Oryza sativa Japonica Group: one gene and its partner. The protein of the gene in region 1 interacts with the protein of each later gene in a pairwise test. Links are inferred from orthologs where the notes say so. Each region holds a gene or a part of one and is shown on either strand. Other genes may lie near its edges.

Region 1 (9,175 bases):
ATTTTAGATTTTGATGTAGGATTACTTCTAATAAAAAGACACCTAAACTTATTATTAGTTAGCTATTCCTTTTTCTCAGTTCTAACTACTAATGAAAAAAATTCAAATAAAAAAAACTTAAACTCACTGTTAAAATTAGAGCTAAAAAATTCAAAATGTGTGAGTAGATTCTAGCCAAAACTATACATAACAAGCACACAGAGAAAGAAAAGCCAATAATAAAATGCCATATAAGGTTTATTTGGGGATCTTCCTACGGCTGAAGATTCTTCTAGAAACTGCAACTAATTTTGAGAAGCTATAGTTATATAGTTATAGAATAAAAAAATAAACTAAAAATCAGAATAACCTTTATAAACTCTTATTAACTAATTTATCACAATTGTTAAGCTCCCAAAAAGAGAGCGGATCACGAGGTTTGGAACCTTGGATTCTCAACCCCTTTATATCATATTTCACGCGTACATTTTTCAAACTGTTAAACGGTACATTTTTAAAAAAATATATATAAAAATTGCTTAAAAAATCATATTATAAACATAACACAGCCGACTGGCCGAACGGCCAAGAGCCTCCCCTTTCCCATCTTAACGCGCCGCGTCCACCCGAGCCGGTTTCTGTAGCCTCCTACACTTACCGTCACCGACCGCGAAAAAATTCCCCCAAAACCCTAGCGGCGGCGGCGCGCGCTCCCCTCCCCACCTCCGCCGCCGCGGCGTCGAGGCAGCACCGGAGGGCGATGGCGTCGACGGTGCTGGAGGCGACGCGGGCGAAGCACGAGGACATGGAGAGGCTGGAGCGGCTGGCGGTGCGGGAGCTGCAGCGGGAGCCCGCCAACGCGCGCGACCGCCTCTACCAGTCCCACCGCGTGCGCCACATGCTCGACCTCGTCATCTCCACCTCCGGCAAGCTCGTAAGCAACCCCCCTCCTCCCTCCCCCCTTCCCTCAGCCTAGGGTTTTCCCGGTTGACTCATGGATGCACTAGATTTTGTTTCGTTCTGAGCTATGTTGCAGCTAGGGTTTGATGATTTCGCATGTCGGTGCATCTGTGATGCTTAGGTTTTGCGATATACTCTGAATCGGGGCTACTTAAGGTGGACTCGGGGCTGCAGAGTTGTTCTAAGATAATATTCTCCTTTTGTTGGTTTGGCTATGCTTATACGTATTAATTCATTGGAGATGGGAATTCTAGCTAGGCACATGGATTTTTGGGCCTTTTGCCTGCCAAAGTCTAAGGCAAATGTCATGGTGATCTTAGATGATTGTTTCCCTGCTTGTTTTGCCTCAGTTTATGTTGTCTGACTGTCCGACTGAGAGATGCATAATGGCATAATTAGTCATTTTTATGCGGTTACATTTTGCTTTTGCTAATGTGACTACATTTTACATAGGTGGAAATCTACGAGGACAAGGATAATGCTAGGAAGGATGAGATCTCCAACCATCTTAGTTCCACAGTGCAAGCTGAAATCTTTCCAAAGTTCTATGACAGGCTCAAAGAGGTAATGATCTATCATATTAGCCTGACTGTATCACATAAATGCATATAATTTGGGGGTATGCCATCGAATTAGGACAGCTGAAAATGATAAACCACTTATGGTGCACTTCACATGCTAAAAGAGCATCACACGCCTTCTCTTCTATTTTTTTTGTCCCTTTTAGTCTGTTTTGTGTACCAAAATCTGGCTAACCGATAACTGAAATGATTTTACAAGCTAAACTTTGTTTTCCAAACATTTAAATGGTCAACAAGCAAAACAATTAGTAGAACAGAATTTCGCTCACCAAGAGTCGTCTTTATTGAACTGTCTGCAACTCTGCATATTGGCTATATTTCCTGTTATGCACACCTTGTTGGTCCTGCTTGTTTCCTAATTGTTGCCCTGTGACCATCTATCCTCTGTGGTAAACACATGCCATCCAAACCAAAACCATGTTTGTGGAGGGCTATTCTTGGTGCATTTGTTCCGTTTTAACTTCTAATCTGTTTACTTGTTTCATGTTTGCAGATCCGTGATTACCATAGGCGTAATCCTTCTGCCCGTTTCGTTAGTGCAACTGATGATTTCGAAGAGCTACTAAAGGAGGAACCGGCTATTGAATTCACTGGAGAGGTATTTAACTTGTAACATTTTTTTCCTTGTAATCTTGCCTTTGTTTATCTTCGTACTGGTACATCATAATGTATACCATGTTTAAACTGAGTACCTGTGAACTTATGTTGACTATGTGTGCTCTGTACACTTCAATAAAGCAGTTTGCTCTGAGTATTTAGAAATGATTGGGGGCATACAAAGCATGTTTATATATAATTCTCTTAACAGAAGTTGGTAACTCCGTTACATAGGTTTGTTTTTAACCTTGATTGAATAGTCATACATATCCAAGATATTTAAATGATCGATAGAGTCCTTGTACTTCATTAAGTCCATCAGCACCTTCCACCCCTTTTAACTGCAGTAGTCTTGAACTCGAAGGTATCTCCATTGTGATACGTGTATTTTAATTTCTGCAGGATTGTTTGATTCCTCTTGTAGGATCTCGGTGGTATACATGGTAAGATTTAGGCAATGATACCATTATGGCGCAAGAACCATAACTTGAGAAATATTCTTTGCTATTCATGTTAAAATCTTTACTGACCTGGTTCTATGCACACAATGTACTTCTAATCCAACCAGAGTCGCATCGCATGTCCACCACTGTGGTTGTCATTGCTATGTACTATTTTATCATTGCTGAATTCAAGTATGCTAATGGTTTGGTTCTGCAATTTAATAGGAAGCTTTTGGCCGATACCTGGACTTGCATGAGCTTTACAATGAGTTCATAAATTCCAAGTTTGGAACTCCAATGGAATACTCAGCATATGTTGGCACCTTTTCTCATGTGGAGAAGATGGCACAAAATCTGAAAACCTCCAGGTATGCTGTATGCATTTTTTGCTTAGACCAAAAACATGTCCCCTGACCTGAATTTTGAATTAAGAATGTGCATGTCATGCTGCTTAGGTCTGTTTGCTTTCTTTTTTTTTTCTTCTGGTGGAGGTTTAGGGTAGAAAGGACCTTACGTAATTTTGGAATAATAGGACTATATGTGCTCAAGTATTTGCGTAATTAATCGTAGTTTACTTCTTTATCCTGTCTAGTATTTGTTTCATGCGTTCTGCATTGTTTTGGATGTAGTACTCTTTTTTTAGATATGCAATAATATGAGTTATGTAAAGGTTGTTTATTTATAATTTTCTTAAATATGACAGGCAATACAGAGAATACCTGGAGCATATTTTGGAGTATCTGACATCATTTCTGTATCACACAGAACCATTGCAAGACATTGAGAAGATTTTTGCAAAGGTTCCTATTCCCTTTACTTTCAATTTTGAGCATCATATGTTTTAGTTTTATTATCCTACTGACTTCTATGTAATGACAATGTATTCTATTTAAGAGTTCAAGCAACTATTTCTAGTGTTTTTAGCTAGGGTTCCTCACTGTTATTTTCACTTTTATGTTCACGTAGACACTTCATTCCTATGTAAGTTAGGCATTTCACACAATAACAAGACAACAAGTAAAAACTAACAAGCAGTACACTTTGTTCAGTTGGAAAGCGAGTTTGAAGAACAGTGGATCAATGGTGAAGTGCCTGGATGGGAGAGCAAGGACCCAGAGAAAGAATCTGCACAAGAGTCAGTAATAGACCTTGATTACTATACCACTGTTGAAGAGCTTGTTGAGCTGGGCCCAGAAAAGTTGAAAGAGGTATGACTTGCAATACGTTGTTATTATTACCTTTTTTTTCCTGTCCTATTATTCAACTTTCGTTGGGCTTTTGTACCCTATTGATTGGTTTTGGTTTTTGCCAGGCTTTAGCTGCTCGTGGATTAAAAAGTGGTGGTACTGTTCAACAGCGTGCTGAGCGACTTTTCTTGTTGAAGGTAATTAATGTACTTTTAAACCTGGATATTCAGCTCATCTTTTTTTAAATATTTACCAAATATTCTGAACTTGTCGATGATTATATCTTGCAGCATACACCCTTGGAACAATTGGATCGTAAGCATTTTGCCAAAGGTTCACACAGTTCTGTCTCCAATGCTACTTCTAATGGTAACAATTTCAAGGATAATTTGAAGAAGGAAATTGCTTTAATGGAAGTAAAGATGAGGCGCCTTTGTGAGCTACTAGATGAGGTCAGCTTTGCCTTGCTCTATGTGTGGCTGTATATATCTTTCCTTTGATATGGACTTGTATAGCTGCATTATCTAATGACATGCTTCTCTTTTACTCCCTCTGTCCCACAAAATATCAACCTAGTACCTGACTTTGACATATCCTAGTACTATGAATCTGGACATATATCTGTCCAGATTCGTAGTACTAGGATGTGTCAACATCATCAGGTACTAGGTTGGTTTTTTATGGGACGGAGGGAGTACTTGTGTAGTCAATCTTTATATATTCTACTTCGGCTTTGATAAGTGTAACCTACTGGGATTTATTAATCCATGCTGTATAGTATGATCCTTTGAATTTGTTAGATCTTCAGGATGCTTTCTTATCTTGATTGGCTAGAAGTCTAGTAGTCTGATATAGGGTGTGTTCGCTATTCCTGGATCCCAACCGGATCCCTCTGCATGGAAAACGGAGCGGTCCATTAGCGTGTGATTAATTAAGTATTAGCTATTTTTTTTTAAAAAAATGGATTAATTTGATTTTTTTTAAAGCAACTTTCATATAGAAACTTTTTGCAAAAAACACACCGTTTAGCCGTTTGAAAAGCGTGCGCGCGGAAAACGAGGGAGAGGATTTGGGAAAAGGGGCATCCGAACACACCCATAGCATGGTATTTCACTCTCATGTGTGGTGTACTGCATAACCAGTGCTGTAAAAGGCACAAAAACGGTTATCTAGGCACTTAAGCATGGAATACACGAATAGCAAAGCAAAACCACCTGAGTATGCATCAGGAGCATCAACTTTTCACAAGATGCTTGTTCTGCTAGGCAGTCATGAAAACCTTAGATTTTGTGCACAAGATAATTAACAAACATATTAAATTACATGTAGGAGAAGTTAAAAAGTACTCTGTTTTGTTCCTTACTACCAAGAATATATAGCAAGGTTAACACTTGTAATTGCTGTGTTTGCTGATATCATGATATCCCATATTTAATGTGTGCCTATATTTTTAATACACCATTTTTATGTCCATAATGAAGTTAACCTGTGCTCATGTTTTGATATATCTTATGCTATTTATGCAGATCATTGTACGGACAAAGGAAAATGCAGAGAAGAAGCTGACTCTCACATATGAAGAAATGGAAGCAGAACGAGAAGAGGTAATCTGCATGCAGCCCTCTTAAATTCTGTTTTCTGATCTGCAAAAGGCCCTGATAGTAGAATAAAGGTCAAAGGTCATGTTGGGTCATACATTTTTTAACAGAGGGAGTAAAGATATGTTTAGTTAGAATTTTAGTTATTAGTGTGATACTTCGCTTCTAATTTTGTCCAAGAGTTCACAACTTGGTTCTACTTTTCCTCTATTTTCTTCTCCGTACTTCACAGAAGTAAAATAATAATATTCTACTCAAAGTACTGAACCTTTTGTCCTTTGTATTTTTTTCTATAGGAAGAAGTGCAAGCTGATAGTGAAAGTGATGATGAAGACCAACAAATCTACAATCCTCTTAAGTTGCCGATGGGTTGGGACGGCAAACCTATACCCTATTGGCTATATAAGCTCCATGGTCTTGGTCAGGTAAATATCTCATTGGTTTATATCTAAAGATTATTTAGTTCATGGCTGTTTTGCTAAATCATATCTTAGTATTACCAATGTTTAGAGCTGCAAAATTCCTGTTTTGCCAAAACAGAATGCTAATTTCTATAGACTACAAATGGTATTTGCATTCTCACATGCTCCATTTATTTTTTGTATTTTTATTCATTTTTCAATAATACCCTGAGCTTCAGCATTGGTGGCATCATTTTCCCATACAGTTCTAGATATTTACATATGATTTTAAATTGTTAACATATCTTAATTGCTATGATTTTTTTGTCAGGAATTCAAATGTGAGATATGTGGAAACCACAGCTACTGGGGGCGACGGGCTTATGAGCGGCATTTCAAGGAGTGGCGCCATCAGCACGGGATGCGCTGTCTTGGAATTCCTAATACTAAGAACTTCAATGAAATCACATCCATCCAGGTAAATCATCACTTTATGCTACCTGTACATCCACTGAATAGCTTAATTTGTTCTCTCAGAAATTTGAGAGAAATGAGTACTTTGCTTAATCTTCCCATATTGGCTGTTTTTATACATGTTCTCAGAAATTACTGTTGCTGCGAATGTGGTAAATTGGTAATGGAAGGGGCAATTGACACCTCTTATTTCTGTTTTCAGGAGGCAAAAGAACTCTGGGAGAAAATTCAACAACGACAAGGGCTGAACAAGTGGCGGCCAGACCTAGAAGAAGAGTACGAAGATCAGGAGGGAAATATCTACAACAAGAAGACCTACACTGATCTGCAGCGCCAGGGCCTGATTTAGAATCCCTGATGCGATCCTAACATTTTGGCCCCTATGGGCTGCTGCTGAAGTGGTTGGCCATTTGTTCTATTGAACTTCGTTGACCTCTGGGTAGTTGTAGCACTCGATACTTGTAGCACCATGGGTACTCCATTGCTCAAATGTTTCTTTTCTACTACATGGTATATTGCACTATATCCCTGTACCCTGTTTGACCATCTGGTATACTGTTTGCACAATCCAGGGTTAAATCGCCATTGTGTCGGAGATGTCGGAGTCAAACTTTATATCCAGAACACTAGAATGGATACTTCTAGAGGCATGCGTCCTATACATCTAATTTTGATAGGTTTAAACATGATCTAGAATGCGCACACAAAGATTATAAAAAAGCATAAAAGGCCAAAGAGAAAAAAGAGAGGAAGGAACGAGGGTGTAGTTTTCAATGTCTCGATGTTTGGTCTCCAAGACTAAAATGTCGCTTTAGTGCCAGCCATCAACGCTGATAGGAATTGGGATAAAAACACAACAAATATGTCGCAAATCAGCAGGCCTAACCTATCCCTGCCAATTGCTTCCAACTACCTATTTATAGTTTTAGAGAACGCCCAATTGGCAGTAAAATACAGCTACTACTGATTGGCCTCTCTAGGGTAATTTTCGCATGGAGTCACAACCCGAATCTATTAAAAACTCAAAACGACAAAATCCAGAGTTTATAAGAAGAATACTTAAATCGTGTGGGCAGGGGGGGAACCCTGCAAGCAACACAGCATATTCACAAGCAAATGAAAGTAGGCAGAGACAAGAGTTCTTGTGCAAGGTTCAATGCTCCCATGATGAGATCGAGATGTCACTTTTGCAAGATGATGAGAAGATCTCATGGCCCACCACTAATTGGGCAAGCTTTGAATTTTCGCTCCTGTTCTGTGTGCTCCATGTTGCATTTTTTTCCCTTTAGGGAAAAGCTAGAGAGGGACCCAATTTGATATGGCTTGTTTCCTGTCTGCCATCAGAAGAGGCAATTTTTTGGATGGGTCAAAATCACCTCGGAAGGTTATCCGGGCTAAATCGGACGGCTGCACACAGATAATAGGGAGCAGGTAACATTGTTTTGTTCTTCAATTCTGCTAGAAGCCTTAACTTCTACTACATGCCAGTTAAGTACTACATCCATGCATAAATATATGACGTTGGTTAGTTTAATTTTGAGCTAATCAACGTCAAACAAAAAATATGGAGGGAGTAGTAAGTGTGGCGGTAGAGTTATGGATGTATAAATTTTACTTATCAGATTAAATTTGTGAACACATGTGGTGATTTGTGTGCGTGTACGGTCTTCCGTGTAATTTAAAAAGGGATTGCCATTCTTCATCTTCAAATTAGGTATACTTATAACTAACTGCCCATGTCAAAGTAGCATTTACATCAGCGAGAAAACACTGCCATGACACTAGAATGGAGTAACATGTCCAAAACTAGGGGTAAAAAGAACGGTTTACACCATCATGACAACTACAATTGAGTAATATGTCCAAAACTAGGGGTAAAAAAAAGGGTTTTTTCAACCCATGGTAAGAAAATAGAATCCAAGTAGTTTTGGAGGCTACCAATGGCAGAGAGGTCAGTCAAAACGAATGAAAAACAAGAAAAATGCGCAGATATACCGTCAGAAAAGGAACGTGACCTTCGTGCTCAATGCTAAGGACCTGTAGAAAGTTTTTTCCAAAAACATCACATCGAATCTTTGAACATATGCATAAAACATTAAATATAGATAAAAATAAAAACTAATTGCACAGTTAGGGGAAATTGCGAGACGAATCTTTTGAGCCTAATTAGTTCATGATTAGCCATAAATGCTACAGTAACCCACACGTGCTAATGACGGATTAATTAGGCTCAAAAGATTCGTCTCGCGGTTTCCATACAAGTTATGAAATTAGTTTTTTTCATTCGTGTCCGAAAACCCCTTCCGACATCCGGTTAAACGTCCGATGTGACACCAAAGAATTTTCATTTCGCGAACTAAACGGGGCCTAAGCCAAACTATCTATCGATCGGCACCGACTTACAATTTTTTTCTTTAATCTTTACTTACAAACAGAAGCTATTCTGCAAATGATTTCATTAGCAAAAAGAAAAATCTTAATTCTTTGTTAATTGTTAGTCATATCAGTACAAGGATGTCGGGATTCTTGCCATGTGAAGAGAAGTACTCCCACTGCAGGACTGGCTGATTGTTGGCAGGTGGTAGTACAATTATTGGCCCATTGCCAGCACTATCATCAGACCAGATAGTCCTGGCTAGATCATAGATCACCGGTGCTGTGCATGCATTGCACGAATCTCTGTTGCTGCTGCTGCCACTCAGCTTAAAATTTTCTCCCCAAATAATTATGATCTACTAGGAGTAGTAGCAGTAGTGCTCCTTAACAGGACCCACAAGACTAGTGCTACTGGTATCAATTATACTACAGGAATGAGTTGAATTGGATCAGATTGTGGCTATCTTTGGGGGAACTTCTCCCAGCTGAAAAAAGCTGCTTCTGCTAGAAGCTGCTCTAAACAGTCCACAGCTTCTGAGAATCTGTAGTTACAGATTCTGAGAAATGAACTAAGAAGCC
Region 2 (9,745 bases), on another chromosome or scaffold:
CAAGAGAACATATGCAGTCATGAGTCATAAGGGAATATATATAAATTCCTTTTAAAAACTAAAGGTACAGAAAATGAATTCAAAATGTTTGGGGACCTCAAAAAGTGCGTCATACCGTGTCGTTCTTGAGTCACGCGCGCATAGTTTCCGAAAGATATTTGACCAGAAATTAACGCTGCTGATGCGAGGTCAAAATTCTCGTCTACCTGATTCTTTTCAGATTTCCAGGCAATTGCCGGGGAAAATCTGAAAGCATCCTTACTTAAATCAGCGTACTTGATGGTGAATTTACACCAAACAATTTTGATTTTTTGAGCGAAAGGTAATTTGTGTAGCTGCTTGATCAGCTTACACTCTCTTGAAGTTTCTATATGAATACCGCGGCGGCGCGCGGAGGCGATGGCGTTGCCGGCGTCCAGCTCCAGGAGTTCGCCTACTTCGTGGTCATCGACTTGGAGGCGACGTGCGAGAGGGGGAGGAGGATATACCCGCAGGAGATCATCGAGTTCGCCTCCGTCGTCGTCGACGGCGCCACCGGCGAGCAGCTGGCGGAGGCGTTCCGGGCGTACGTCCGGCCGTTGCACCACCGGGAGCTCACCGATTACTGCCGGGAGCTCACCGGCATCGCGCAGGCCGACGTCGACGCCGGCGTGGACCTCCGCGAGGCGCTGCGCGCGCACGACGCGTGGCTGGACGCGAGGGGCGTCAAGAACGCCGCCGGCGGCGGCGGCGGCGGAGGAGGGTTCGCCGTGGTGACGTGGGGCGACTGGGACTGCCGCACCATGCTGGAGGGGGAGTGCCGGTTCAAGGGGATCATCGGCGACGGCAAGCCGGAGTACTTCGACCGGTGGATCAACCTCAAGGTCCCCTTCCGGCAGGTGTTCGACCGCGGCGGCGCCCGCCGGATCGGACTGGAGGAGGCGCTCGCCGTGGCCGGGCTGGCGTTCGAGGGGCGGCCGCACAGCGGCCTCGACGACGCGCGCAACACGGCGCGCCTCCTCGCGCTCCTGATGCGCCGGCGAGGAGGGGTCAGGCTCGCCATCACCGGCTCGCTGCCGCCGCCGCCGCGGCCGCCGTCGCAGCTGGTCGCCATTGGCGCCAGCGCGGCCGCGACGCCGGCGGCCGCCGCGCCGGGAGTCGGCGGCGGTGGCGCGCGCGTGCACTACTGCCAGTGCGGCGTGGCGAGCAGGGTGGGGGTGGCGCGGAGGCCGGGGCCGACGCAGGGGCGGCGCTTCTTCGGGTGCGGCAGGTGGACGCCGGCGAGAGGGGCGGTGTGCTCCTACTTTGTGTGGGAGGACGTTGATATGTCTCGAGCAAATCCACGGCCATAGCTCATTTCGTATTTAATAATAATAATAATAATAATAATAATAATAATAATAATAATAATAATAATAATGTTTTTGTGCTAATAACTTGGACGAGCTATCAGCCTATCACGCTGTGGCTTTGTAACTGTGTCGCAGATTTACGAAAGTTTTACACTTACCGAAGGCGACTACAGACCTGTGGGTTTGGCATTGGTCTACTTGAGTTGAGCTATGAGTGCCCTCATGAAAAAAAAATAAATTACGTCACTTTGAATTGGGACACTATCGAATCACTAGCTCTACAATGGAGGTCACGATGTAGTATTTTGGTAGCTTTTAAAAAATAAATTATACTATAGTAAGTTAAAATTAAATTTAAAATTTTGACTGCGGAAGGTAGGAGGAAGAGCAACTGAAGGGTTGTCTACATAAGGGGACATAAGGAAGATGGCAAAATTTGTTACATGGCATTTAAAATATATAGTTTTGTTGCCAGACACCCCAAAAACATGAATTTGCCCAATAACACTTTAAAAATGTGGCATTTTACCCTAGGACACGTATGCATTAAAATATAATATACATCTCATTGATGAGAGAGAAAACATGCAAAATGTTAGTTTTACCCCCTATCTTCTCCCCCATTCTCACAGTCATCTTCCGGCAATAGGACGACGAGATCCCTGCGTAGCACCTGTGGGCAATAGGACGGAGGACGAGATGCCCGGTGGGCGACGATGCACCTGACACGGCTCAAGGTGTGGTAAATGGTGAGCAAGGTGGTGCGGCAAAGAGGACGGGTGGAATTATGACGTGCGGAGGGTGAACAAGCGGACGCTCAGAGAGCACCTGTCGTCAGGTGATGGCGAGACGCTCGCATCGTGTGAAGGCCACCGGCGATGGTCGAGTGCATGGTGTGCCCATGCCTGGAGAAGATGGGCTACAACCTCAACAAATCGTGCCTTGTCTTCTGCTCCACCAGCGCTGCCCTTCGCCGTCTCTGCTGCAGATGGCACGGATGACCTTGTTCCCCGTAGCGGTATGTGGCACAGCTCGAAGCTACCGGCCCTGCTGCCTATGGTGGCTAGCAGATCGGGAGCAACACGGTAAAAAAAAAAAGGTGGCAGCCCCCTAGGGGGCGACGGCAGCGGAAGCGGTGAGCGGCAGTCCTAGGTCGCCCGCTCTGATACCATGTTGGATAGCATAGAGACGAGAGGAATACTGCATAACGTGGATCTATTGTATTGAGTCAGGGGACCGGTATATATAAGAGTACTTAGGGAGGAGATAAGGAAGGATTACACATATGGAAGGAGTCCACACAAATCAATCATATCCTAATATGACTCTAACTACCATATACTCTAACACTCACCTCTAGCAACGGCTGTCCGGGACCCACGCCCGCTCCTCCCTCCTCCACCGACGACACAATCCCAATCTCCAAACCTCTCCCCCTGCCCCCCCAATCTCCATGGTGAAGAAGAGAGGGCAACAGTGCCATTTTGTTAAATTCTCTCTCTGGCTCGAATGAAAATAATAGTTTAATGGTGTTAGTGTCCAGCAGCAAATTATTCTTGAGCAAATTGACGTTCCTATGGTGTCTACCAACAAAGATCACTATAGTGCGTGTTTGCTGCTATGAATGTACTAAAATCTTCTATCTACTAATTATTATTTTATCTTGGTTTCTATTGACGATATGTCCTATTGTCCTGTAGAAATTGACATGCTTCACTTTGCAATTTTTACCATCATACTTTCTATTAGTCCTGCCCCATGTTATGTGCTTTTGGTTTTGTTGTCTATCCGATCATGGCCGAGACTCGAGAGGTGAATTGTTCAAGATCGATTCATTAGGATTAATTAGGAGTGTTTTTAAACTGTTGGTGGTTTGTTGTATTGCACATAGGTTGCTCATGAATCTTTGTGTAACTAGCGGGCATTTTGTTAATTGGAGAATTAGTGATAATTTTGTTGATGGCGGGTGAATCCGTCGCCAACGACCATGGGGACGATGGCGGTGGGCCTTGGGCAAGGCGGCGGCGACGGCGGCGGTGGCGGCAACGGTCTCCCAGCCTTGGGCGTCTGGATCCGTCACCGGCGACCGCGGGGACAACGGCGATGGGCCTCGGGCAGGCCGGCAGCGGTGGTGGCGGCTGGATTAGGGTTCCAAGACGGCTTTTGATTTTCACGTGTGGGTGCTTCACTTGCACGAAAAAATCGGATTTTCACAGATACTTCGTTCCAGACAGGCGAAAGATCCGCACGCGAAAACCGCTTTTGACCGCATGGAAAAATCATTATTGTACTAGTGTGCGTACGAAGCAAACTGGGATTGAAAATGTGATGCCATGAATGCAATTTAAATTGAAACGATTTAGGATGATACTTTTTTTAATAAGTATTCAAAGACGAAACCAATTTGATTCAGTATGAGTGGTACTTGGTCTTTCATTTGTAATAATCAACTATATATACTAATTCCCAAAAATTTTAGTCTAAACTTTGTGGAGTTGACACCTCCAAGACCATTCTTATGGGTAAAAAAGATAAGATGTGTTACGAAGATAAAGGTTTTCATGTGGCTCATATTCTGTAATAGGCTAAATACGAGAAATATGCTTGATAGAAAATATTATCCTTAAGAAGATGCGACCTTTTATGAGTGATTTGCTTTAGTACAGAAAAAGAAACTCCCATACAACTTTTTCTTTTCTTGTCCTTGCAGCAGAAATTGTTGGGAGAGAATTGGTACAAAAATGAATGATAACCTAGAACTCTTTCACATGTTGGTCTTGGCAAGAATTAGATTCATAAGAAAGGAAAAATGTTTATTGCAGGCATATCTGAAAATAAAGAAATAGGAAGATCTTTGAGAATATTACTCATGGAATGGAAGTCTTTCTTTGTCCAAGATGAATGACTCTCTTAGCTCCCTGAATTCTTCTTGGTTACAATGGTTATAATTTTATTTCTTTTATTCTTTTCTTGTTTGTACATAACTTTTTTTAATATATATAACAAATAGGCAAGGTCTGGTAGTTATTTTTTTTAATAAAAAGGAAAGTGAAAAGGAAAGGTAAGAGAATGGACAATAGTGTGACGTCAGCATTTGAGAGAAAATGCCACATACAAATTTTTGATGCGGAGGAAAGAAAAGTAGGATATAGGAGGATGTCGTCATATATAATAACTAGAGAATACCCCGCGTGTTCTCCGGGATTCCGAGTCTTAATGCAAGTTGCTGTGGAATTCCACTATAAATAGTCTCCCTTTGTCCCATATTTCTTGTCTTCCAGATTTAGGGCTTCACACTGACACCATAATTTACAATGGTAAATCGATAATTTTGTGGTTGCATTTAGTTTAGTACCAAATATTGATAATGTTTATGGAAATTGGTGACATCACATTTATTCCATCATATCAAAACTTAAACAATTTTATCAACTTACCAAAAATTTTGATTTGACTAAATTTTAAAAAGGTTTATTTTGGTAGTAATAATCTTAAACATGTCCTCGCTAAAGATTGGGGGAGACGTGGAGTACATAGGAGTATGTTCCAGTCTTTAGGTGTGATTGCTTTAAGATTGGTGACGCCACGTGTCAAGATTGTAGAACGGGCGTGGGGTTCAAGTGCCTCTCCCCAACAGGAGTACCTCGTCGGCGACCTGCGGCGGCGGCGATGTCGGCGGCGGCGGCGGAGGCCACCGAGCGGGGCGAGCCCTCGGGCGGAGGCGGAGAGATCGCGTACGTCAGCTACGGCGGGGAGCACCACCTCCCGCTGGTGATGTCGCTGGTGGACGAGGAGCTCAGCGAGCCCTACTCCATCTTCACCTACCGCTACTTCGTCTACCTCTGGCCCCAGCTCACCTTCCTCGTACGCCCTCTCCTCCCCTCACCTCGCGCGCGTGTTTCACAAGAGTTCGTGAGGATTTGATGCGTTCTTGGTTGATTTGATTTGGGGGACAACCCCTCAAAAGGCGTTCGATCCCAAGGATGGCAAGTGCGTGGGGACGGTGGTGTGCAAGATGGGGGAGCACAGGGGGGCCTTCAGGGGGTACATCGCCATGCTCGTCGTGCTCAAGCCCTACCGCGGCAGGGGAATCGGTGAGCCCTCCTTCGATTCTCCAAGAAGAGTTTCTCTGTTTGTTTGATTGGTTGATTGACTGGTTTGTTTCAAAAGGGAGCATATTCTTCCCTTTGATAGTATCTGCACAAGTCTGTCCTGAAAGGAAGCGTAGACCACTCATGAATCTAAATAAGAACTTAAGAATCCTGCTGATTGGGAGGAAAGCAAAGGGTTTTTCAGTTTTTGTTCCAATTCGATCTGAAATGGCTGGCACCTGGTGGAGTGGTGGGCGATTTAGTACGGATTTACAATCTTCCATCGATTTCGATATGATATCCATATGTACTAAATAGGTGTTTTTCCCTTGTTATGCTTGCACAAACTTAATTGAGTATCACTTTTACATGTGTCAAGAAATTACTAGCTATAGGTCTTATAAGTCTAATTTGTTTCATGATCCTTTCACACTACCATTTACTTGTTTTTTCTCTGTAATAGTTGCTTTGTGTTGATATGGTATTATTTTTGTCTTAACATCAGCAAGTGAAATATGTCTGTGTAGCAGAGTGGAACGAAAACTAGCTTACTAAGTGTTACTGGTTTTCTAAAAACGATGCCATGTTAAGTATTTAGTAGGATTTCTTTGTTCTTTGCCTGCTTGATTTGCAGAAAGGAAAGGCATTTTTTTATTTCTTTTATGGGTACAATAGCCTTCTATTGTTCCCTTCTCTTAAACTATATAATCTTCTCTCATCAGTTTCAATTGAGATTTGTGCTATTATTTTGATAAAATGTTAGTTAACTTTGTTTAGGTGGTTTTCTAGTTTTGTGTAGGAGTAGGTATTGTGTTATGAACCAATATTCCCATGTTTAGTTTTCCCTGTGACAGATGTCTCGTGTTGGGTGCTTCAGCGATTCAGTCTGTGGCACATGAGAGCATTTTGGTCGATTAGTTCTTTATGGTTGGAGCCATTTAGCACTTCATCTGATGTTGTAGTATGCAGCCTAACCTTATCGTTACATCAACTTCTTGCATGAGATGATTTCTTCTTAGTGTCATACACTTGGAAGCGTGCTGACTATAATTGATGTAGCAATAAATAGGTGTGGTGCGACTTGCTAATGCATATATCCTGTGTGGGGAGTACATTTTTCATAATACTTTTATCATGAAATGCACACTGATATTTACATATATCTTGGTACAATGGTACAGATAGTCTGTTTATCTGAAAAACATTGCCTTTGTTGTTTCTGTAATGACATTCGCAGCAAGGATCTTGACAGCTTTAATTGTTGAATCCTGCCTGACATGAATGACCTTTCTCGATGTATGAATAGAGTATATGGTAGCTTTGTCATCTGTTAAGAGTATTGCGAAAGCTCCAGCTTCAGTTCGAATAGCTTTCCTGAAGTATACAAGTGCTTTGCTTTTGCAAATGGTCCCCATTTGTCTTTTTTAATTTTATCTGTAATAAGCAATTAAATGGACACTATGTTGGCCTTTATCAGCTAACCCTCTGTTTCTTCATGGTACAGCCACCGAATTGGTTACGAGATCTATTCGGGTAATGATGGAATCTGGCTGTGAGGAGGTAATCACCACTGTGTTGTTATCTTCTCACCCGATGAAAAACTTATTATTATCCTATTGTCGTTTTGGTACCCATCACTTGACTTTCTTGGTGTAAAATTGCTTCATTGATTATTCAATTATGCCCTAGACTAATCTGCAATTTCCATAATAACAATAATATCTTTCGTGAAATTAGTACAAAAATTGAATTATTTGATATCTGACTCACTCTCCAACCAGGTGACACTTGAAGCAGAAGTTACGAACAAGGGCGCCCTCGCCTTATATGGTCGTTTGGGTTTCATCCGAGCAAAGAGGCTGTACAGATACTATCTGAATGGCGTCGACGCATTTCGCCTGAAGCTGCTATTTCCTCGCCCTGATCCTGGTATGCATCCAATGATGATGCTAGGCAATGAGAGAGATGACCAGCACATGGATTCTCCTTACTTGTGATACCATTCTGGTCGATTGATAGGATGAGTTAGGATCCAAGGCATTTTGCTCTTTTATGTCAGTTTGATGATGCTTTTGTAGCTTTGCTGTAACTCTTGTAACATTGATGTGTTCAAAGATAGTATCTTATTTGACATGGCATTATGTTTCTTTCAATCCATGTTAGACGGTTGAAAAAGAATGCCTTATTACATACTCCCTCCGTTTCTAAATATTTTACATCATTGACTTTTTAGCATATGTTTGACCATTCGTCTTATTTAAAAACTTTTGTGAAATATGTAAAACTATATGTATACATAAAAGTATATTTAACAATGAATCAAATGATAGGAAAAGAATTAATAATTACTTAAATTTTTTGAATAAGACGAACGGTCAAACATATTTAAAAAAATCAACGGCGTCAAATATTTAGAAACGGAGGGAGTATATTTCATTACTTGGCACTAGGAAGAAGAGTAGTTGGGGTATGAATTTGTATACCGTTTCGAATATTTCGATCCATTTCCTAAATTTATGGATTCATTGATCTTACTGGCTAACCCCTGCATATGCGGATATGCCACACATCAGCATCTACCCAACTACAAACTGCAAGATTCTTCATATTCATTATGAGCCTAAAAGTCCTTGCAAAACAGTTAAGCCTAGAAGTTACTATATTATAATTCATTTTGATTTTTTTCCCACGGCAAACTTATTTAGTTTTGATCAAATTTATAGAAAAATATAGCAATATTTTAAACATAAAAACAAAAGGCCATCAAAATATATTCAGTGTTATATTTACTAAAATTAATTTGGTGCTATAAATATTTCTATAGTTTTCTATAAACTTGATCAAAGGTACTATCAAGAAGTTTGACTTAAATAAGTCAAAGCAACTTATAATATAAACAAGGAGTATTTACATATAATCTTGGCTCACACATGCAGCTACATAGGATGCCACCAATCTAGCCAAGCTACATGTAGGAGACGAATCACTCTAATACCTTATGCACAAAAATTACATGATAAAATTATATGGGGAGGTTATGGCCACCATCGATGATACGGGATCGCTAGTGCATCCGGTGGCATATGTGAAGCTCAGGAGGATGAAGAAGCAGCAGCACTTGGTCTGAGAATAACATTGTTAGCAGAAACATCAGTTGGCCATGGAGTAATCACTGGTATGCTGGTGGTGCTGCGACAGCATATACTGACGGAGCAGCAGCCACATTGTTTCCATCACAGGATGCTGTGTTCCCTGGGTAGGAGTAGATCGCCGAGGAAGCTCCATAACAGTAGTAGGTTCCAGGTGCATGAGTGATGTAAGTGGCTGCCTGCTCGAATTGGCTCCCCTCAGATGAATGTGCCGCAGCTCCAATCACACTGCTTGGCATAGACCCATAATTCCTAACGAGTTGTAAGTTTGTCATAGCTGCCCCAGTTGCTGAAGCACTTGGAGTAGCCCCAGAATTACAAACTAGTTCTGAGTTTGTCGCAGCTGCCTCAGGTGCTGCGGTTGCACCACTTGGAATGGACCCATAATGGCTAATAGGTTGCAAGTTTGTCGTGGCCGCCTCATGCTCTGTACCGTAGGTAATTCTGAAATTGAAGACAGTAGCAAGGAACAAGTAAGACTTCCAAGTAGCTGCAAGTAATGTTCTTTCAGATTTTAGACAAAATCGCAAATTATGGTTCTCTATTGCGCCTGCAGGCTGCAAGTATCAGTTCATTAAGTTTTTCAAACTATGTCCAGTAACTGAACAACATAGTTTTGAGACATCAATGTTGTCAGCATTGGCCTACACGCTAAACATAATTTAATTCGGTTCGGAGAAACAGCCAACACATTATAAAATTGACAAACAGGAAGTACTAGAACCATAAACGCGTACCTCTCAGATGTAGTTCCTAAGTAGTGTGATCTTGGAGGATCAACTGGGTGCATGCCAATTTGGTGGGCGGCATAATATGGGGCAGTATAGTAGCCAGTAGCCGAAACATGATCAGAAAGAGATTGTTGGCCATAGAGATTGTTGGCCATAGAGATATTGTTGGCTGAGGGCAATGAACTATATGCTGTGTGCGCTGCTTGATATGGATACTCAGCTGTTGACATATGGTAAGGAGGTGTAGTGAACTGCATGTTTGGAGGAGGCATCTGAGCATATGAATGTGCATAAGATTCAGGTGGCATCGGATGAGCAGTCAAAGGAGGAATATAAGAAGTTTGGTGCTGCTGATGCACATAAGCAGCTGGCTGTGATGGATGAGAAGCAGGAGGTAGGTAAACAGCAGGAGGAACAGGATGCCTGTCACTGTCATTATGGAA

The links.
Region 2: the proteins of splicing factor SF3a60 homolog (region 1) and N-alpha-acetyltransferase MAK3 interact in binary tests that used the Arabidopsis thaliana proteins (3 or more experiments, as listed by UniProt). The link is inferred for Oryza sativa Japonica Group from reciprocal best matches to the Arabidopsis thaliana genes ATO and ATMAK3.

What each region holds. Positions count from the first base shown.
Region 1 is NC_089037.1:29,915,104-29,924,278, reverse strand, and holds splicing factor SF3a60 homolog, read left to right. Parts: upstream 1-619; 5' UTR 620-739; coding exon 740-913; intron 914-1,392; coding exon 1,393-1,503; intron 1,504-2,013; coding exon 2,014-2,118; intron 2,119-2,785; coding exon 2,786-2,928; intron 2,929-3,263; coding exon 3,264-3,360; intron 3,361-3,609; coding exon 3,610-3,768; intron 3,769-3,872; coding exon 3,873-3,944; intron 3,945-4,037; coding exon 4,038-4,199; intron 4,200-5,273; coding exon 5,274-5,351; intron 5,352-5,641; coding exon 5,642-5,770; intron 5,771-6,077; coding exon 6,078-6,224; intron 6,225-6,422; coding exon 6,423-6,569; 3' UTR 6,570-6,815; downstream 6,816-9,175. UniProt on the Arabidopsis thaliana protein: Splicing factor homolog to SF3a60 that may be involved in pre-spliceosome formation. Is necessary for gametic cell fate determination.
Region 2 is NC_089045.1:21,019,671-21,029,415, reverse strand, and holds N-alpha-acetyltransferase MAK3, read left to right. Parts: upstream 1-4,929; 5' UTR 4,930-5,000; coding exon 5,001-5,195; intron 5,196-5,298; coding exon 5,299-5,425; intron 5,426-6,926; coding exon 6,927-6,982; intron 6,983-7,203; coding exon 7,204-7,419; 3' UTR 7,420-7,575; downstream 7,576-9,745. Other genes in the region: uncharacterized protein, read left to right, coding at 372-1,331; uncharacterized protein, read right to left, coding at 8,592-9,015, 9,309-9,745. UniProt on the Arabidopsis thaliana protein: Probably required for N-acetylation of some chloroplast precursor proteins and efficient accumulation of thylakoid multiprotein complexes.